3 linked regions of the Caenorhabditis elegans genome follow. The protein of the gene in region 3 purifies or fractionates together with the protein of the main gene of each other region. This does not show direct contact. Each region holds a gene or a part of one and is shown on either strand. Other genes may lie near its edges.

The links.
Region 1: the proteins of C14A11.9 (region 3) and K10G9.2 fractionate together in Caenorhabditis elegans (co-fractionation; one large-scale study listed by BioGRID). This does not show direct contact.
Region 2: the proteins of C14A11.9 (region 3) and C15H9.4 fractionate together in Caenorhabditis elegans (co-fractionation; one large-scale study listed by BioGRID). This does not show direct contact.

What each region holds. Positions count from the first base shown.
Region 1 is NC_003281.10:10,283,153-10,290,794, reverse strand, and holds K10G9.2 (Bestrophin homolog), read right to left. Parts: upstream 4,873-7,642; 5' UTR 4,741-4,872; coding exon 4,720-4,740; intron 4,325-4,719; coding exon 3,936-4,324; intron 3,579-3,935; coding exon 3,499-3,578; intron 3,122-3,498; coding exon 3,029-3,121; intron 2,599-3,028; coding exon 2,459-2,598; 3' UTR 2,174-2,458; downstream 1-2,173.
Region 2 is NC_003284.9:6,094,804-6,102,478, forward strand, and holds the start of C15H9.4 (Transmembrane and coiled-coil domains protein 2), read left to right. Parts: upstream 1-2,839; 5' UTR 2,840-2,909; intron 2,910-6,225; exon of another isoform or gene 6,226-6,362; intron 6,363-6,413; coding exon 6,414-6,552; intron 6,553-6,602; coding exon 6,603-6,745; intron 6,746-7,286; coding exon 7,287-7,384; intron 7,385-7,675. Other genes in the region: C15H9.5 (GOST seven transmembrane domain-containing protein), read left to right, coding at 1-27, 75-233, 279-431, 511-628, 674-804, 1,041-1,182, 1,662-1,873, 1,938-2,045 and 1 more.
Region 3 is NC_003284.9:2,806,358-2,813,182, forward strand, and holds C14A11.9 (DASH complex subunit DAM1), read right to left. Parts: upstream 3,281-6,825; 5' UTR 3,275-3,280; coding exon 3,211-3,274; intron 2,747-3,210; coding exon 2,572-2,746; intron 2,525-2,571; coding exon 2,357-2,524; intron 2,087-2,356; coding exon 2,006-2,086; intron 1,951-2,005; coding exon 1,839-1,950; 3' UTR 1,697-1,838; downstream 1-1,696. Other genes in the region: C14A11.5 (Death domain-containing protein), read right to left, coding at 1-238, 286-421, 619-883, 928-1,006; C14A11.6 (ANK_REP_REGION domain-containing protein), read right to left, coding at 4,169-4,354, 4,401-4,543, 5,179-5,348, 5,391-5,759, 6,338-6,478, 6,525-6,701, 6,750-6,825.

The sequences.
Region 1 (7,642 bases), on a different chromosome or scaffold from region 3:
TCGATGCTATTTTTAGGCTTCTGAAATCTCAAGACCGATTTCAAGAAAACAAAAATTAAAAAATCACAATTGCATCATTTTTTTAATCACAAATTTTCATATCATCACAATCTAAAACATCAATTATCTTTTCGTCGTTTTCACCCAAATGAAAAACTAGTTTTGCTTCGATATATTTCGGCAAAACACGTGTAATGAGTCACCTCCTTTGCCTAGACTTCAAAGTATTTAATGGATACAAGGTAGCTCAATGGTGAATTGGAGAAGTTGCGTACTATTTTTTCATGGCCTAGGGTTTGCAGTAACGGCCGTCTAACATCTTTGCCGGCCGGAGAAAATTCGTGACTTTACATATGGCCTAGCATAACCGCCGACAGCAATGGTTCTAAGGTGCGCCTGGAAGAGGGGTGATTTCAAACGAGGTCTAAAACTATCTACGATCATAACCACCTCATTAGCCGCGACCACTGTATTAAACACACGTGGTCTAGTTTTTCTCCGATTACGTTTGGATAAATTTGAATTTTCATAATTATAATAAGGAAGAAAAACGTTCAAATCAAGAAAAAAGTTTTTTAACCTAAAACTTTCTTAATCAACATTACAACACAAATGATATGGGCAAGTTCGTTTAAAAATGAAGGTCAGTCTAGATTAGAAATAAGCTATAAAATTTCAATAAAATAGGGACAAAGGAAGAAATGGTCAGCGATTCTCATGAAGGTTTTGGACACTGTGATATACTTTACAATAGCTGATTGTGAGAAGATCAGAGATACACGAGACGCAGAGAAACACGAGAGGAAAAGATTTGAACATTTTCAAAGATACCGCACATCATAAAAAGGAGATATATACATCTCATCTCTCAAATATCATTCAAATTAGGATTTGAACCTGCGGAGAGGCCGACGATTAGATATTATATATCAATGGAAATTTCGAATACTTCTGGAAAGGGAAATTGTTTTGTGATTGACGAATAAGGTAGCGGAAGTTGAGATTAGTTTTGAAATTAGAACAAGTGCTTGAAGTAGAAAGTTTTGGTAATGTGTAGGAAAGAAGTGACATCATTATATTTAGATGCCGTTCGTGGAAGAGGAGTGACGTCACTAGAGATTGTAGCTCGCTAATGGATGAGTTTTGAGGTGATAGGCGCTGGTGGCAAGTTGTGGAAGAGCTGTGATGTAATAGAAGCTGATGCTAGCTTGTGGTAGAAGAATGACGTGACTGATGATTTTTATTAAATTGAAGCTCGAGGAAATTTTTTTTGAATTTTTGAAATATATTTATAACTACGTTCTAAAATACTAGGTATCTAAATTTAATTATTTAAGGTTTTGCGAATACTTTGAGTTGGCAAATATAAAATTCTTGATGGCACAGTAGGCGTAGGCACGCAGATAGGCACGAAAGACATAGACAAAATATAAAAATGTAAAACGGTAAAAATAATCTTTTAAAATTGTGATTTTTGTAAGGCCGTTTTTTTTTAAATAAATTTCAAATCAGATTGAAAGCCAATTTTTTGGTAGGTAGGTCTACCTCCGTGCCTGCCTGCATGATTTCATGTCTTTCTACCGCCTATTGACAATAACTCTGGCTTCTGATTTTTGCCCAACTTAGATTCATACACCTCTCATTTCAAAGAATCGGATGAATGTTTCTCTGAGGATGTAGGCACGCGTGCAGGCACGAGGCATAAATAGGTCGCCTTAAACTGTATCTCTAAGTATCACAAATTCCCGGAAGGGAACACTTTGTTCATTTATTTGCATCTCCACTTTCTCTTTTGGGGTCAAAAGTAATAAAAAGTGATCTTTAATGAACAATGGGTCGAGTGTTAATTGTCTTCTTCTCCGGGTTGGGTACAATGAACTATAAATCAATGTACTTTTGATTTGATTTATTATTTTTTTTTTTTGCAAGTTCAACGAATCAAGTAATGTTAGGTTGGAGTGGGGAACTTGCTAAATATTGAGGTATCATTTACTAAGTTTGAAAATTTTTCCGAGATTTTTTTAACTCACAGCAAAAAATGTCAGTGTTGAACTTTCATTGTCTTGTGAGTTGACCAAAAAGATGAGGTTTAAAAACACATCCGGCTGAAAAATTTTCCTGTAAGATTTCTGAAATTATTTTCTAAAAAAACATTTTTTAATTTCCGATTCATAGAAAAAATAAGTTTATTATCTTATGATAGCACAACATATTAAAGCAGTTTAACATAAAATCACAAAGAAAAGCAAACGAAAATTCAGGAAAAAATGACAAATGTTTGGGGAAAAGGGGGAGCGACAGGACCGGTGTTCTAGACGAGAATCTGATGGAAAACGACTACAATTGGATGAGAAAGTGGATGTAAACTTATGACATGGATTTGAAAAACGGCAAGGTTAAGCTAGGTGAACAGTTGGAGAAAAAATTCCAAACGGAATTTTTTTCGATTTTTTTTAGATTAGTCGCAATCCATCATATCATCGTCAAATTCATTTCTGGGTTGACGGTAAGAGGTGAACGGATTCGATGACGATGATGATGAGCATGTTGAGTGATTTGAGTGGAGAAGAGAGGGAGGATCCGGTGGAGCTCCTGGAGCTGGAATTTTTTTTTGTTGAAAATTTATTTTTTATTCTAGAATTTCTTTTTTTTAATGCTCCAAAATTATCCAAAAAATTACTTTTTTAGTTCAAATTTTTCCGAAAAGCAAAAAATATAACAAAATTTTGCGTACCTCCATCGATGCACCATGTTTGACGGGCCCAATTTCAACAATGAGCGTTGCGACAACAGGGAATTACATCGTACTTTTTTGTATGTTTTTTTTTGAATTTTTAGCGTTAAAAAAAATATATTCTCTGACAAAAAATTTTATCACACATATATATTTAAAAAAAAAACGAATTCCTAACCATTATTTTTTCCCGAATTGGTCAAGGGTGATTTTTCAAAGAAAATTTTTTTAATTGAATTTTTTTGTAAAAATATAGAGATTTTTGATTAATTTTTTTTTGAAAGAAAAACCTACGAATTGCTGATTCTTCCTCTTCCAGTACGTAACCATTATTGTACTCATCACTACGAGCGACTGAAGAATGCGAATCAGACGACGCCATTGAGTCTGGAAATGGTGGGAAATTTGAATTTTTGAGTAGCGGAGTCGGCATTTGCCACGTGGTCGCGAAAGAAAAAACTCGGCCACATGCAGATGTATTCATATTTCGAATTTTCAGAATTTTTCAAGTCTATCATATCGATATTTTAAAAAATTTTCCTAAATTTCGAAGTTACTCAATTTTTTCAGAAAGATATTTTCAGATTATGCAAAAAAATTTTCAAAGCGGTGTTATTTTTTATCAAATACGAAAAATGCTCAATCTTATTTTGTACTTTTTTCCAGAATCTCCAAATTATGAGTAAATTTTTGATTACAGTTTTTTTCAAGATTTTCCAGAATTTTTCATTGATTTGTTTTCAAAAAAAATACCAAAAACTTACTTCGAAATGCATCTTCTTCATTCACAAATCGATGAGGTGTATGTCGAGCTGATGGTGGAAGAGAAACTGACAGAGATTGACTGAAAATGTTTTTTTTTAACTTGTGCTGTTGAGAGTTATATATTATACAACTCAACTAATTTTTAAAAAAAAGTGAATTTTAAAATTAAAAATTGAAAATCATGTTCTTCCATTATTTTCAAAAATATTTCTTTTTCAATTGAAAAATTTCTAAACTGCAAAAATGAAAAAAAAATCGATGCACCATGTTCAACGCGCCACATTTCAACAATTAACTTCTCACTACAGATAATCGGAAACATCGTCGTTTTTTGTAATTTTAATTTTAAATTGTCAGTTTTTTGTGGAAAAAATAAGTGAATATTTGAAAAAAATCAAACTATAAATTATTTTCATTTAAAATATACAAAACTTACCCCTTATTATAATTAGTTAACGAATTACTCCTCTTCCTCTTGGAATGTAAATTCGAATAAACCCTCGATTGCCTTCGAGACCCGCTTGCCGAATGCCTGTGGGACGGGATAGGCTGCTGCCGGAACATGATAGCGTCTAAGGAAGAACTTGCACATAATGGAGGTGGTGGACGTGTTGAATCTGCCATTACTGTAGAAGATGTTTGAATTCCGACTATTTCACTGGAACAAGAGCACGCGTTCATTGTGGATGCTGATATTTCGTCTGGTCGTGGAGCTGGCGATGAAGGTTCCAGTTGGCAAAGATCTAAGGCTGCGATGGTGTCTCTGTGATGAAGATCGGTTAGACGATTCTCATCTGGACGAAGGACTACATCTTCCACGGCACGCTGAAAAAATTGGACTTATTTTTTGTTGAGAAATGCTTTTTGCCGCAGTATTTTTTTATTAGCTGAAAACAAAATTTGATGAAAAGATTTTTAATGGCATTTTTTGTACATAATTATTTTTTCTGAAACAGTAAAATTACAGTACAATTTTCCTAGATTCTACGTTTTTCCAATTTCGCTAAAAAGGTTTGATAAGTTAGTTTCTATTTTAATTTTTTTGAATTTCCAGAAATAATTCAAAGTTTTCAAGGACTATTCATACATTTTTACATTGCCAACATGAAAACGGAGAAAATATTCGAGAAAGAGCAATTTTCCATTTCAATTTCCGTCGGAAATGAGTTTCAGTGAAGTACTTTGAAATTAATTGTTTTCTTTCAAGAAACTGCTCTCACTTTCAAATCATTACACCTCATCGATTGTGTGAAGCGGTGATTCGTGGCAAAAGCAGCCGGATTTCCGATCGTTGTGACGAGAATTGCTCCAACGTCCGGGAGTGAGACGAGGATCACAGGGAATGCAGTTTGGAGAGTTGAGGTACTGGGTTTCTGGAATAAGATAATTTACAAGAAACCAATATACTGGCGGAGTTAAAACTGAAGATAGAACCTTTTTGAGAAAGTTCAAAAGATCATTGGCCACAAATCTGCGTTTCTTGACTGAAAAATCCTCATCTTCTCAGAGTCTCTAATACTCGAAAGAGGGAAGACAGAAGAAAAATGATAAATGTTCTCGGTAAAGCTCCAGGAGCCTGCGGAGCATTCTCCTTTTTTTCAGGTCAGAACTCGCTTGCGAAAAATATTCTACTAACTTGTTTCACTAGACAATTGTGATGTGTAATATAAAAACTCAAAAAAAGTACTAAAAATTACGATGTCGAAGCTACCAAAAGCCAAGATATGGGTGGGATTTTTTTTTCAAAAAAGTTCTTCGATGCACCATGATAGTTGTTTTTAATAGCCGCTAATCGCCATTGCATAAACAGATGAAAAGCGGGAAACTTGAATATTTGAAAATAAGTTATGTTCCAAAGCCTTGTAGAGATATTATATGAAAAAGTAAAATAAAAAGGAACCAGGTTGTGTGTCCATGACACAACACAATGAATCAGCTTCTTCTCGTTGTTGTTGCTAGAAACAAAAACATGTGTTTTGTTATTTTCTAGAAAATACAAATCAGAAGAAAGGTAATACTATATACCGGGAAATTGAAGCTAAAATATAAATAAATTTAGAAAAAATCCGGCATTTTTAAATGTTTCAAATGTTTAAAACAAATTTATAACTTGGTAGACTACGTTGCAATCGTGCCTTTTCGCAAATCAACTGACAGAGTTTAAAAATTTTAGAAAAATAATTTGGGGATACATTTCCTAACAGATGAACGTTTTGAAAATTTTTGAAAAACCAGAATTAGTAAAATAAATGGAAGGCCCAAAAAAAATTTTGAATAATTTTTTTAGAAACAATAATTTTGAGTATTTTTGAACCTTTTGGGTTGGAGGGAACTTGAAAGTTCTTTTAAAAAATTAAACAAATTTTTAAATCCATTTTTTCAGTCTAAAATTTTTGCAAAAACAAAGTGAAACCGCACAAAAAAGTAGAAAAAGGTAGAACTTGCAAGAAAAAATCAACCTAACCGGAACTAATGACAGCTGATGCGGAGCTAACGGGCTCCGCAGAGCCAAACGAGTCATAACTTGAGAGATATATGTGCTCAATGACATCTTATCACACAAAGAACCTTTTGGCCCAAAAGACTGAGAAGCCCTTGGAGCCGTTGCGAGCCCATCGGAGCACAGAGCCCAGCGACGTCATCAGAGAAGGGGTTCGATGGCAGTCACAAAGTGCTCTGCTGGAGTGTTTGAAAACTAAAAAAGAAACGGAGAAGAAGAAGAAGCAGAAGACGTCGTGTGGCTCTTCTCGGAGAAATATGGACGAGTGAGAGAGCGTGCCGAGCGCCGGACACGCAGACGCGCACACAGAAAAGAGCACCGAATCCAGAAATGGAGCAACACAGAGAGCTCCGAGCCCCCTCTCCCCCATCGAATTCTCATTAAGACACCCCCCCGGAGCACGCGGAGCATTTGAAGAAATCGTGGAGAGATAGACGGCTGGAACGGTGGCAAAGAGACGCAGACACGACGCCTACTGCCTAGCTAATAAGATTGAGAATGAAAACAGGGGGAGGGAAAACATATAATAAATATATATATAGTTGAACTTTGGCGTGCTAGTTGATTAGATTTGGCAGGGAATGAAGGCGTTTGGAGTGAGATACTCTGCCTACCTACCAGCCTACCTGCTTGCCTACTGGTTATAGCAAAGTGCTCATGGTGCATCGACAAATAAGAGGGAATCTAATTTTATTTATATACTGAATTATATGCTGGCATTTTCCAAAGTTTTTTTTCCAAATTTTCGGGAGTACTGTACCTCGTAGAATACACAAATATCAGAGTAGGGACAATTCAATTAAAAAATTATGTTTGCGTGTGAAAATCGGCGTAAAATTCGACTTTGATGCATGATTTTCTATAAGAAAAATGGTGCATCGAAAAAATATTCTAAAAAACAGAGTTTTGAGATCTGCTAGAAATTTTAAACACCCCAAAATTTTCAGAAAAGCCATTTGCCACGAGGCCGCGAAAAAAAACTGGTGGCCGAGTTTTCTCTATTTTTATTGAAAAAATTTCATAATGTTTTTGATCTACACGACCTAGAAACCATGATTGCTTTATATCTGATTAGATTTACCTGATTTACTCAATTTGCCTAACCAATTTTCAGTATCCATATAAAAAATGTCATAATTTTTCAGGTTTAAAAAAATTCGCTATTTTATATTAGAAACCTAAAAAAATTTAAGAGCGCTAGTTTTCCAGAAGAAGTTTTATTTTTCTGAAAAAATATTTTTGAATTTTCAAGTTTGACAAAAAATGTTTGGAATTTTGCTATTTTTATCAAAATGTGGAACTTTTTAGATACAAAAAAACGCAGAAGTTTTTTTTGAATAAAGGCAATAAAAAATCACAAATGCTAAATACAAAATGTTTATTATTCCACTCAATCCTCACCCAAAAGTGCAGCTCCCGGAGCTAGATTATGAAGAGTTTAAAGATTAAATCACGACTTTTTATGTGATTCACAAGTGATTAGTGATTATAATAATGATAACATCTTTTTTTCAAAAAACAAAGAAAAATAAATGTTAAGCCTTTTAATGTGATGCTTTACATTAAAAAGTGCATTGATATCTTCTGTTAGCGTTGGCTGGAAAAGAGAGTAATCAAAAATCACAAAAAGTGTATAGAAAATA
Region 2 (7,675 bases), 3.3 Mb from region 3:
CTACAATTATAGAGCACATGGATACAGGTGCTCAATTTTTTAAATATTTTTTTTACTTATAGGATTATTTTCAGCGACCGAGTGGCAGTGGATCTGACAGTCGACTTGGTGGAACGAAACAAACATTCTTATCTTTCACTTCAAGAAATCGCCAAGCCAGAAATCTACCTGTACATGTCCATTTTGTATTTTGGACTTGCTGTTTATTGGTCACACTTGTTATGCAGATCAAAGTATGCAAATATTTTTACATTACAGTAAAAAGTTTCAATTTACAGCTCCGAAAACATATATCGAGTGCACAAATTTATGGCGGTGCTTGTTTTCTTAAAAGCATTGTCAGTGTTCTTCCATGGTCTCAATTATTATTTCCTAAGCAAGTATGGAATGCAGAAAGAGATTTGGGCTGTTCTCTATTATATTACGCATTTGTAAGTGAGAGTTTTGGACAATTTTTTCAAATTTGCATTATTGCAAACTATTAAAAAAAACACCAAACATAAATTTCAGGCTCAAAGGATTGCTTCTTTTCGGAACTCTTATCCTGATAGGTACTGGTTACACGTTCATTAAACAGTTTTTAACTGACCGAGACCGCAAAGTGTTCATGTTTGTCTTGCCAATTCAGGTAAAACATCATATCGTAAATAATCAAATATGTTTTTGTTTTCAGGTTATCGACAACATCATTCTGATCATCCTCAACGAAAGTGAAATTGGAACACAGAATCATGAAACTTGGCTAAAGTTATTTGTCATCTTGGATCTGTTCTGCTGCGCATTAGTCGCTTTTCCAATTGTTTGGTAAGATTTCAGATAAAATCTATTTAAAATATTTGGAGGATCATTTTGACTAGAAATTGAAATTAAAATTCAACAGGTTTTTTGAAATATTAACAACATAGAACAAACTGACTAATCAGAAAAATTGTACTAGGTTTCGTAAAAAAGATTATCCTATACGTATAACCCAATTTTGATAGAAAAATAACACTGATACTGGAAATACTGAAATTTAATTATTTTTTTATAAATTTTAGGTCAATTCAACACTTGGTAGAGGGAGCCACTACAGATGGAAAAGCCGCAGCCAATTTGGAAAAACTACGTTTATTTCGACAATTTTATATTCTCGTTGTCGTCTACATCTACTGCACGAGGTTTTTTGGCTTCATATTACTCGTGAGTTTTAGAATTATAACAATTAAACATGTACAAAAAAAATTCTTAGCTTCAAGCCAGCGCCAGTGGGAAAAGTGTTGAAACCCCACTTTTGTGGTGCCAAAATTCCAAATATCACAGTACAACTTTATACAATTTTTTTAAATTTTTGATATTTCGTTTCAAAAACTGGTAATTACTCAGGTTTTACTACTTCATTGAAGTGGTCGGTCAAAAAAAAAAACTACCTTTGGATTTTATAGTCTACGTATGTTTCAAACATCGGTTTTTAAACAATGTAAGTATAGATTGGGACAGTGCCAAAAAAAATGGCAAAATCTCAGTAAATGTCACTTTTTGACTATGAATTCAACATTTGTAAAAGATTTACTATGATATTCGGTCTTTTTGGTAACCTAGGAGCGTGTTCTAACAATATCGTCACCGGCTCCTACTCTAATTTTAATCATACATATGTGTGCATAATTATTCCCGTTCAGCACTTAATGCCTGTGAACCTCCAATGGACCATTGTCGCTGCAGTCGAAATGGTTACCTTCGCATTTTTCATCATCGTTGGCTACAAATTCCGGCCTGCCAATTCACACAATTATCTGCTCTTGAACTCGGATTTTGATAGCTATGATGTGGAGACATCGCCGAAAGAAGATAGGAAAGATAAAGAAAACAATGAGCAAGAAATTGATGAGCAGTGAGTCATTCGTTTTATCATCTTTGTGAAAAAATCAAAACCTTGAGTTGAGAAAATCTTGCAGATTCCTGACAAAAGCCTACTCAGATGCCAATGTGTCGAGGAGATTGGTTTCAGATGAATCATCAAACAACCAAACCGACTATCCCCATCAGAAACTTTTGAAGAAACCGTGAGTGGCTTTCAGTATTAATACATAACATTCAATAATAATCTGTATTTGTTCAGTTCTCAAACCTACGAACAATCATTGCTAGATTAATTATAATCCGTTACAACAACAACAAAAACAACAACGAGTTCAGTGCAAACGGAGGGAGGCTTATCAACTCAACCAACCAACTGTTTCGATTATAATACTATTATGGACAGGATGATCATCCAGACTTCTATCGCGTTCTACTCACTATTTTCAAACATTTTGCTTTTCAAATAACATTTCTACCGGTCCTTTCTAGATGCATGATAATGTGTATATAACTATTTTAAGATAATGATGAAAATTGAAACTGATTTTGAAATATGATAAAAACAATTTCAAATTCCATTGCAATATCAATCATTCCTTAGAAAATATTATCATCATTATCTAAAAACTTCAAGATGTATGAACTAAATTTTTTCAAACATATAGGTGAAAGTACACTGGCCAAAGTGTATAAATTCTAGTCTCCGCCTCCTTTTCCCCATCTCTAATCTTTTTTAGTTGTAACATTTAGTCCAATAAATTTCCAGTCGTGTGATGTGATAACTCGAGACTCCCTGTAAAAAAATATTGTTAATTATTTTTCATTCTATTGTGTACTATTTTCTGAACCTTCTGTGTCTTTGTGTGCTCTATGGTCATCTAGTGAATTCAATATCTTATAATTCATTAATGAAAAGAAGATTTTTTTCCTTACTTAAAATCCTTTGTAACATTGATATAACCTCATATTACAACATCTATACAATATTTCATGCAATTCAGAACGACAAACCAACTCTAATGAGGGATCGCCGCATTGGACAGCTGTCCGAGTTAAAAGGACTAGTGGTAAGAGAGGGGTGAACAAGCATGGCGAAAGGGGGTACGCATTATTGCGTGCGCGTGTTTGCGTACTGCGCGTATTAGCCATTGTCTGCCGACCACCCGGAATCCGGCCATTTTCTGTGCACCGCAATAGCCAATACCGCTCGATTATTAGTTTTACGAGCCAATTTGCTCTTTTTATAATCCATCTTAGCTGTTATCGATTTTTTTTCGAGTTTGTATGGTTTTATATGCATTTTTGTTTTGTTATTAATGCTATTATTATTGGGTTAATTGCGCAAAATAGTTTTCCAAAAGTTTTTATGTTGAAATAATAATTTCCTTCTTTATACTCCTTTTCTAATTATCATCATGGTTTTTTCTCTTTTATCTGTCGTTTCCCTCAAATTGCAAGAAAAGTGTTTTCTTTTTAATTTAATCACAAAATGATTATTTTTAAATTATTAAAAACAATATGATTTATGGTTCAATTTCAACATTCACTTGATGTATATCAATTTATATTGATTTTTCGCGTGAAAATATCTCAAAAGAGCTAATTGAAGCGCGGAAACTTGTTTACTGTGTTCTTTTTCTCTGTCTGATTCACCAGACATCACAATGCTCAGTTAGAAGGCAAAAACATTTTTTCCTCTCCTATATGCCTCTCATTGTTTTGGCCGTTTTTGGCCGTGTGGATTACTGTTTTACAAACTGTAGAATAGAATTTTCACACTTTTTTATTTTTCTTGATGTAAAAACTTTGATTTTGAACTGCAATCCGATAGGGGGAGATCTTCATTGAAAAAACGTTTTACCGCACTAGAATGTTCTCATAATTAATCAAACATTAACCAGTTTTAATCAACTCAAAAAAGTGGAACTTTACCCTTTGATAACAACTCCATTTCCGACTATGATGGTCAACGGTGCAATGATAAGAGAAACGTCTCCCCCTGTATATTGACATTTATGTGCTTTTTCAATTTTCCATTGACTACATATAAGACAGTAAGGTGGACAATAGGAAATAGTTTTGCTCTATTTTATGTTTTTGTTCACCACTTCCGTACCTGCAAAAAAGAATTCAGAGCTTGAAACCTTGCCACCTATTACGACCACAGTTTGCGTACAAATGAGTGTGTGTGTCCGTTCGCGTCCGGCCAATCCTCTCTTCGTCGCCTAGCCGTTTTTTCGCGCGCCTCGATCTTGATTTTCCGCGTTCCTGCAGTTTTCTGTGTTTTTCCGAAACTAGGCAAAATCAAAACGCGGCGCTCGATTTCTTTTCCATTTCCTGTTGACTAAGAAAAGAGTGTTTTAGTCAATCTTCCAAAGTGGTTTGATTGACATCGACGCCCCTATTTCACCACCAAAGCGTCTTCTTGCCCCCCGCTTCTTTCTTCCCTCATCTTTCAACCCTTGCCCCATAGATGGATGGCTTTTACATACTTTTGGAATACTTGCACTTCTCCCGCTGCTTGCTCTGTGTAGTTCAAAGTTGTCGAGAAGAACAAAAACTGCAAAAGGCATTTTCTTTTTTTTTTGCTTTTTCGCTTCATAGATCGTCGTCATGAATTATGTTTGGCGCGTTTGAGTGAGGTGTGAGTGCAAAGACCTTGAAAAACATTTCAATCGTTTTTTTCACAGATGAGCAGGTTGCCTATATATCTCCCCTCTCGTCAACTCGCTTTTTGTCACCATTGTTCTTTTGACCATTTTTACCACCTCTAACCTTTCGGGTTGATGTGTATCTCAATACTTTTTACGGTTGCGCCGCATTAGACCCCCGCGTTCGGGAGGAGGCTACCCCACAAGTGTTGACATACTCTTCAACGTTTCTACGTTTAGTTGTGCCCTCAATTTGTTATTTTGATTTCTTTTGGGCAAACATAACTATATTCCTTTTATTTGCCAATTTAATGTTTCAAAAAGTCGATTAATTACGTTCACAGCTCCCTTTACGAAATAGTGATGTGAATTGAAAATTTACTGGAGAATGAACTACTGGGTTTTAAACTTTGTCGTAATAAGTGCAAATAATTAACCGGATTTTTTTCTCAAAATTTGAATACCCGCGCAAATTCTTGCTGAACAAATTTTGTATGTTTTTTTTCCAAAAAACATTTTTTGTAGCAAATGAATTTAATATATTTTTTATAAAATAACCAAATATCATAATAAAACTTTAAAAAAATTTTGAAAATGTTTTTTATTTTGAGTAAAAAAGCTGTGAAAACTCAGTATTTATATATTTTTTCTATTTTTATTTTTTCAAAAATATTTTTTCATCCAGTTTTGTGCTTTGATTATATTCAAAATACTTATATTCAATAATTTCCGCATTGTAGAGATTATAACTTTTTACCGCTTCTGACTCGAAATAAGATTTTGTCCAAAGTTTTTTGATAAGTTCTATTATCATATTTGGTCATCATATATTATAAATCATGTAACTATATAAATATTTTAGGTCATAGCAAAAATGAATAGGAATTTCAAAAAAAAAATAAAAGCAAGTCCTTATTTGTTTTGCATACTTTTTCTAAATTTCTTTCAAGTTTTAGTTTTAATGTTAAAAAGTATAACAAACCGTCTAAAACTAATAATAGAGCGTCTTTACAGTCCAAACAAAATACGTGAAATTGATTTCCCGCCTCTTCAGACTTTTTCAAGCTGAAATATTTCGATCTCAACATTTTTGTTTAAATTTTGTAATAGCACAAAGTTCCAGAGTGCATTCTACATGTTTAACCATTTTTCCCCATTTCCACATTTTTCAATCGATGAAAAATTAATATAATGGCGTCGGATGAGACATACATTCTTTTATTTTCAAAATGTTCAGAAAAAAAGTTCCACTCACACCTCGTGATACAGTGACTCAGCCACTTTGAAATGACCAATTGTTAGAAAACTATTTAGTTGGTGGTTATAATTTACGTTTATATTTTAAATCATTTGACATGTTTCTCATTAAATTCCTTGGTAAATAATTTGTATTCCATCCATCACAATTTTCACAAGGACAAATACATAAATCATATTGTATTGTCGTATTAAGAAAGAAAAAAAAAACCAAATCTTGTTCGATTTTACTGTTTTTATAGTCATTCGAATGATGAATGATGGGTATGTAGGAAAGGTATGTACATAATATTACACAACTATATATTCCAAACTTCATTATACCGATAAGAAATTCAACGAAATTCTCCGACTTTTAGAGAAAAAGTTTGATAAGAGTCGATAGGCCTACATTTTGGCAGAACGAAAATTGTAGCCTGTTCTTTGGGGGTTTGAAGCTTGCGGGGCAACACAGGGGCATCATAGGGCAACACAAGCAACAAGAGAAGACCCTCGCTAGTTTCGCTTTTCTTTTTTCCTTTGTTCGATATCAGATTTCGAATCAGTACGTTCAAATCGGTCTTCGTCTCATCACTTGTCCTTCTCTCGCCCCCGTAAAACACTCGTCTCGACTTTTCCCCCTACACTACTATATTCTGTTATTCCAAAATGCGTTTGTTCCAGATGACAACAGACTCGGCGAGTCTAAAATCTTCCGAGGGAACATGCAGTTCGATTGGAGACGAGCGAGAGAAGGCGAAGATTGTGCAGAAGCTAATTGAGATCAAAGACAAGCTACGGGCGTTGAACGAGAAACGTGAGGGTAAGTGGAATTTTAATACTATTATTTAAAATAAATATACAACTTTTCAGCTGACGTCGAAAAGTTTCTCTCCATAACGCGACAATCAGAAATCTCTCGCGGAGTTGGAGCAGATAACCCTCAGAGAGCCCGTATTCGCAACAATTTTGAGAGGCAGAACAGAAAACATGCACATGAGACTGAAATGCTTCAGGTAAAAACTGATGGGTTTGAAAGTAGAAAATTGAAAAAATAAATTAGAACAGTTTTCTGAAGGATTACGTTCTTGGTAAATGGTGGCTTTCCTATTACCTATGTAGCTCAAATAATGAAAAAAAACACACACATAAAAGGTTAGGTAGCCAATGCAAATTTTAGTTAAATACACCTATCGTAGTCAAAAATGCCGAAACTTCATGTTTGACCACTCCAAAAATTTTAGGCTTTTTAAAGTTCTCATTAAAATTGTATGGTATATTGTCAAATTTTTCAAAAGTATGCTTTTCCGGAAATACATATCAATGTTGCATGTTCCAACCCTTTCAAATTTGACTTAACAATTTTTAAAACATCTTCAATTAGAAATTTTTATAGTCAACTTCTTTTGTTTGCTTTTAACACTATGAGTGACAAAAACTGAGGAGTTTCCACTTTTTTGACAGTAAATAAAACATTATTTGTTACGTTTTCATTATGATACTTGGCCAATTTGGCACCATACAAAATTTTTCAAATACTCACCCTCTTGTTTTCAGAAGAAACTTATCGATTATGAGGAGCGCTTGAAATTGGTTGACAGTGGAGAATATGAGCCCAGTCCGACGAAATCGCGAGTTTTCCCGACTGGAATCAGGTTTGTTCATTTTATATGAATCTGCAAATATGAAAGAAAAAATAATGTGAAAAGAATTGAAACACCAAAAGGAGATCGTATGCCTAAAAATGTTGTGGCAGTTATTTTAATGTCTCGCATTTAGATAAGTCAAAAAGAACACAGTTTCTGGAATTTTTGGTGAATTTGTTGTTTCTTAAAATCCATTTTTTAAAGTAATAGAAATTTAATTGATATAAATCAACTTAAATATCACACATATGCACACGTTTCATATGTTTAGATTTAGCATCTACTTAGATAAAAACATTT
Region 3 (6,825 bases):
CCATGTTTGCGGCACTACATTTCAACTTTTCCAAACTTTCACTGATTTCTTCATAACGAAATGTTTTCAGAACTTCTGCGTCATCCAAAACGTTTTTTAATTGACTGGCCGTGAAAGCAATTTTATTCGATAAATCACTGTTATTATATGCACCCATAACGGTTTCATCCTCGGGAAACTCCGCTTGGACAATAGAATCTGAATTCTTGTGGCTGGAGATAGCTGATTTTTCAACAAGCTGAAAAGAAACAAGAAAACATTTTTAAAAGGAGCGGCATTACTTACTTTTTTGGATATTTCTGTAGAAATTACATTTCCACATTGACTCGTTTGGTTTCCACCGTTATATTGATGAGGAATTGGAGAAAATGAGTCGGATTCTGCAACCGTTGAGCAGTCTGATTCTGCGCCAAGTTCGATTCTGTAAAATATAAAATATTATTTTATTTTGGTTCAGACAGTTTGTATAAATCAGCTTCAATAATATGATTTTCAGTGTGGTTTTAAGGCATTTAGAAAAGTGAAAATGAGCTCACAAATTCACAAATTCACGTAGGAAAAATATTAAAAAAATAACTTCGCTCTCTAGCTCATTATTTCAAACATCAAAGAACTCACGTTGAAGTTGTCGACTCTCTATCCGTGATTTTTGCTTGATTTGCTGCAATACTGACATCTCCGACATGCTCATTTTGATCATTCTCAATCATTTTAGCGTACAAAACAAGTTTCTCATAATCATGTAAAGCGTCTTTGTTTCCTGACAATAGCAATAAGAACAGTGTGTGACGCTGCTCATTTTCCACTTTCCTATACGTTTTCCAAGCCTTCACTACTGTTTCGAGATATTCAATGCGGTTTTTGATTTCTTGGTCACACAGAACTGAAAAAATACACATGTGTTTGAAAAAAAATATATCATTTTACCTTCTAAAGAATGAGAGTCATAGCTTTTAACTTTTCGGACCAACTCTGATGAAACCTCCAGTTTGATTTGGATGCACATTCGTCAAAAACAACAAAACGCAAACGTAGAAATATTAAAAGGACAAAGCAATTCTTCTATTCGGGACGACGGTTCTAGAAGGGTGCACAAGAAGAGTTCATTGAGACGCAGCGTGTTCGAGGAGAGCAGAAGACGGAGTCACCACACGTCGTTTCTTCAGAATACGGCGTCGCTTCATATGTCCCTAAGCATAGAGAGCATGAGGAATTAAGAGAAAATGAGCACGAGTAGTATGCTTTTGCTTGGAGCATGTGAGCACGCTGCGGTGAGGTGCTTGCATTTTCTGTAATTAAGGAGGGGTGGTGTCTAAGCAAGAGCCGAAAAGCAGGGAAATCTGAGTTGGCGCCACTTTTGAAAAAGTCTGAAGAACTTAAGCATGTTCAAACCACTAACATTTTTTTGATAGATAACTTAAAGAAAGTTTTAAAAAGTTGATAAAAACCTTGTTTTCACCTTTTTGTGACGTCATTTAAGCACCCCAGAAATGGTTTTCAGCCATTTCTTCACTGAACGTACTCAACTTTTAATATAACATCTAGAATTTTTTAAGAATCTATTTATAAAGCAAATAGAAATGGTTATTACATCGGGAAATAAGAACATAGTAATTTTGAGTGGAAACCCAGACAACACTGGAAGTTCGGGATGGGTAACATTGGGCAGGTTAAAAGAATTGGGTGAGAGGCCAAATAATTCAGTGCAATTAAATCAGGAAATTCTGAGTCGAGTATTTGAAGAATTTGAGTTTTGAAGTAGTATTGCACGAGGGGTAAATGATTTCAGCAGCTGTCGATTTCCGAGTTCTGTGGAACATAGTCGCTTGCGCTTCGACTTAAAATTTAGAGAAATACGCATCATCGGTGGATGTGGCCATTGATCGTTTCGCCGGTGGAGCATCTTCTTTTTCAAACGCGGTTTTTCTTTTGATTGTGTTTGATTGTTCACTGAAAGTAAATTTTTAATGAATTAATGAATTTTTGAAGCAAAAAAGTTATTTACCTAGTGGTTGGTCTAGAAGGAGTTATATTGCTGGTGGTAGATGGAGGAGTTGATGTCGAAGCAGCTATTGTGTCAGCAGTTCTGAAAAGTAATGACAATAATCGCCAAATTTTCCTCATATTAGCCTGTAGTAGGATTGCATACCTAGTACCTAGTAGAGCTGTGCGACAACCGAGACTTTCGGCAACCGGCAACTCGGTTGCCGGTTGCCGCACAGACTTGGTACCTACAGTGCCGGCAATAAAGGATTTCCCTTTTAGTTTTTTTTTTAGAAAAGCTGTCAAAAAATGTTTTACTAATTTCTTTTCTATATAATTCATAAAATTATAATATTTGAAAAAAAAAACTTATTGTTGAACTGATGTTTGGCTTTCAGGTGGTGAACTTGTTGCCATATTCCTGGATGCATTCGAATCACCACTTGCTGAAGGCGACGAAAATTGCCATAAGTCGACTGGATAGATGAAGTCTAGGTCAAAATCGCTATCGTTCGAATCCGTAGAAGAGTCAGAGTCCGTCCTTAAATAAATTTAACGTTTTTTTTTAACTCGACAAAAACGACAAACCTTCTTCGCATCCTTCGTTCCTCCTCCTGCCGGGCGAGATTCCGCTCAAACGAATTTCGCATACCATTCGCACGGAAGCGAGTAAACTCTACATTTACTTCCTGGATTCGTCGCGTCAGATCATTTCGCCGGTTTCCTGATCTTTCGAGGAGATCTCGCATTGTTGTGAAACTGTCTGAATTAATAAAATTAATTCGAAATGTCAGGATTACAATTTATATATACATTTTTTTTGAATATTTTTTCAAAATAACTAACGGTTCTTTTAATTTCAACTAGGTTTTATCTGTAAATCCAGTAGTTTTGTTTTTGAACAACAAAACTCCTGAGATGTCGGCCGCTTTATTTTTGGTCAACTTCCGATTGAATGGTTTTAACTTTAAAGACTAAATATACATTAATATAAATGATATTTTGCTAGTTAAAGGTTTTTCAATAACACCTCAGGTTTTTTAGTTATACTCATTTGAATAATCAAAAAAATAATCATTTCAAATTTTTTGATAAAACTAAAAAACCTAACAAATACATTTGTTTGCTAATTGATTTCTTTCATTGAAAATAACTAACGAAAATTGATTATTCTCCTTCACGATTATAATTTATTTGTAAAACGGATTTAAATAAAACAAAACTCACTTGTCAAGATGTCTAACATTTGTTCCAGTTCATTATGAGCTTGAGCGACGATTCTGTCTTCCATAGTCCTGAAAATGTTTTTCAAAACTAAAAAAAAATAGCGTTGCTGTGCATAAAGAACATCGGAAACTACGACAATTAAAAAAAATGCCCGATAAAGATGCGATGAGCATGGATGGCAATTGATTCTACGTCAATATTTGCGCAAGCGACGAACAACGCGCCAGCAGAAACACCCTGGCGCACTTTCTGTCGAGGAAGAAACACCGGGCAAATAGCTGGCAGTGGGCACGCAAGCAGTAGCATGGGAAAAAAGGAAAAGAAGAAAAAGAAGAGAGTCTTCAAATAATGTGAATTTCTCATCGAATGTGAAGTAGTTTTGTGGAAACTTTTGCAGAAAGGAAATTTTTATATTTTTTCGCTGATTGCGAATAATTCAATGAATCAAGTATTGATAAGAAAATTGAAATAGTTGTGAATTTTGATAACCAAAGTATAATAGTCAATGAAAAATTTTTTTTTCGAAAGGATAAACGCGTTTAGATGAAAAAAAAAATCAAAGTGTGCAGAATTGATTCAACAATGATTCAACCATCTGATCGGTGTAAAATTGCCTTGATGTGTAGATAAAAGTTTACCGTTCTTGTGTAATATACTTGCCCTACCGTTTGTCGACACGAATAAAGGCATTTTGGCAGGTTTAGGAGAAGTAGTATTGTATTATTACGGTAATTAAAGTAAATAAGACTTATGGGGTTATTTAAGTAATGCTGCAAAATATAATTAAATACATTTATGTTTGCATGTATTTCAATACAGTTGTGACCTAATTTTCTTACACTTTTCAATTTTCCAACACTACGTAAATAACCTCATTATTTTCATTAACAATTCAACTGAAACTAAATTTAAAAAACATCAACAAAACATTTCATTTGAAATATCATCATAAAACACTCTAATTCTTCTCTAGAAAATAATCCTCGTGGAACAGATTCAGCATTAACTCTTCAAGTTCATTGAAATTATCGGCATTCCTAATTTGATTGTTGAGACATGCGCATATCAATGCGGTTCTTGAGTTGATCTTCTCCAGTAGATAAATATACATGTACGTAAATTGCATGAAGTTTGGAGGACGGGCCTATTAAAACTTATTAAGTACAATTTTTTGGTAACTCATAAACTACCTCCAAAAAGAAATCTCGCCTTTTTGTACAAAATGCGATGGCAAGTCTTAATAACATAAGTTCATCCATTTTATTGCTAGCTTCGTATGCTGAAACTAATTGCACCAGTTTCAGAGTATTATTGCTGCGAAATTCCAATTCTTCTGAAATGTCAAGTGATCATTATAAAGTTTAAATTATACAAGTGAGGTAGCGACAGTGGAAAAGTTGTTTTAAATATGCCTATGGCATCACAATGACCAAGTATCATAATATTAAAAAAAAACATCGAAAATTTTTTTAAATTTTTATGATTTTTTGAATTTTTTTTAAATTGTTTTTGCCACTTTTCAGGAACTCGTCGATCAAAAAATATATTTTACTATTTTTTGGTCTACTTATATTTCAAATATTAATACCTAAATATTGTAGGGGCACGTGGAGTCAGAAAGTCCCATTTCGCTTTGATCTTCAAAAAATGCGGGAGGTGAGACGCAGAAATCTCATCTGATTTTGCATGGTTCAGAGCGTGCTGATGTCACAATTTTTCTGGAAAAATACTTCCGCATTTTTTGTAGATCAAAGTGTAAGGAGATATCCTGACACCACGTGTAGGGATTCTAACATGCGACAGTTAAAAACTCAAAAAGTGACAAAAATTCAGTAACTGCCAATTTTGACTTTTGACTGTCAATAACATTTTTTCAAAAAAATGTGAAAAGCTTTACTATTCATATAATCTCACAAAAGTGGTTTTTAAAAATTCCCACACTGGCGCTACTCCATATTAAAACATTACTTTGTACTGAATCTTCAAAACTCAAATATGCAACTGCCGCTTTCCGAATTTGCCCAATTTGTTTTTTGCTCAATGATTGCCCGGCAGACTTAATTGCAGCCCGAACTTCTCGTTCCACTTCCTTATCCAGTTTCTTACTGCCCTCCGAGTCTTCGATATTGTCTTCAACTCTGAAAATTCACCTTGATTTTAAGAAGTGTAAATTGGCCAACCTAGCTACACGTCTCCATTTATTCGTTTTTGGCCAAATATCTTGCAGAAGCTCGTTTGAAATCGTACCCATCGAATCCACTGTCGCTACTTTATTAGTTGTTAAATATTTGTTGGTCTCTGCTTCAGCAGTTTTTCTCATCGTAACTGCTCCAGTTTCTTTTAGGACTGCATTGGCTCTTGATATAAATTCTTCCAGAACTCCATTGTCTACATTTGCAAGCTCTCCCAATTTCAATCGCTCTCTTATTTGTTTTTCTTCTGTGGATATATCGGTTGTCAGTTTTTGCAAGTTTGATTTCAAATTTCTTGATTCTGGATATATGTAGTGAGTGGATGATTCAATGTCTTCAGATTCTTCGAGATCTTTTCTGGAAATAATATGTAAAGATGCAAACTTCTAAGTATCAATAAGTACGTCTTAGGAGTGCATGTGATAAGTGATTCGATGAACAATTGCTCGTTTTTATCAAAGTGCTTTATGTAATTGTTACTTATAAATACAGCAAGTTTACTATTGGACCCCTGCAAAATTTTCGCGAAAAACTATTGTGATATTTGGTATCCAGAAGTTAAGATACCTATAATTCCATGTTTTCAAGAATTTATCGTAAATGTTGTTTTATTTTCTGAAAAATACAGACCATGACAATTTTTTCAAACACGCAGTCGAACACAATTTTGAAATTATAATTTTTCTATTAAAACTTGAAAAAAAAATTTCAAAAACCTCAAGGGGGTCCTATATCAAGTGCCCACTCATATTTTTGAAATATTGTTTGGGTGCTTTCAATTTTTCTGAAAAATTCATGAAAACTTTGGATTATAGGTTTTTTAACACCTTGATTCGAAATATCACAATAGTTTTCCACAAAAAGTTTGGATTTTTTCAATACTTCCAAAATATAAGGGGGTCCTGCACTGCACTGTATGTATGACATTCACTAACTTTGAGTTTCTGGTTTGACAATCTACTATCTGGTCTTTTTCTTCAAATTTTTCATCTTTCTTGATAGTTTCCAGTGCTCCGACTTGATTGCATTCGATATCCTTAGAAGTTTGTTCTACTGAATTTTCCAAATTTGATATGCTAAATGATCGCTGTCAACAAAAAAAAAACGAATGATATAAATTACCTATTTGGCAGTTTTTTGCTCGATTTTTTCTTCTTTTTCTTTGTTCGTCGTAAACCCGCTTCTTCAGAAGCGTCGTGTAATCCTGTGCTTTTTGAAAGTGCTTTTTCAACAACAACATTTGTTGTTTCAGCTAGGAATTGCATTGTTGGACTGTCTTCTTGAGACTCTTTGAAATCACTGTAAAGTTCATTCAATAATAAGGGACAGTTTCAATGAAAGTATTACCTGTGTGTCTTATCAAAATTTATTGCGGGTGACTTTTGTATTGTACTTGTTGATTGACTGTAATTGATATCGCTTG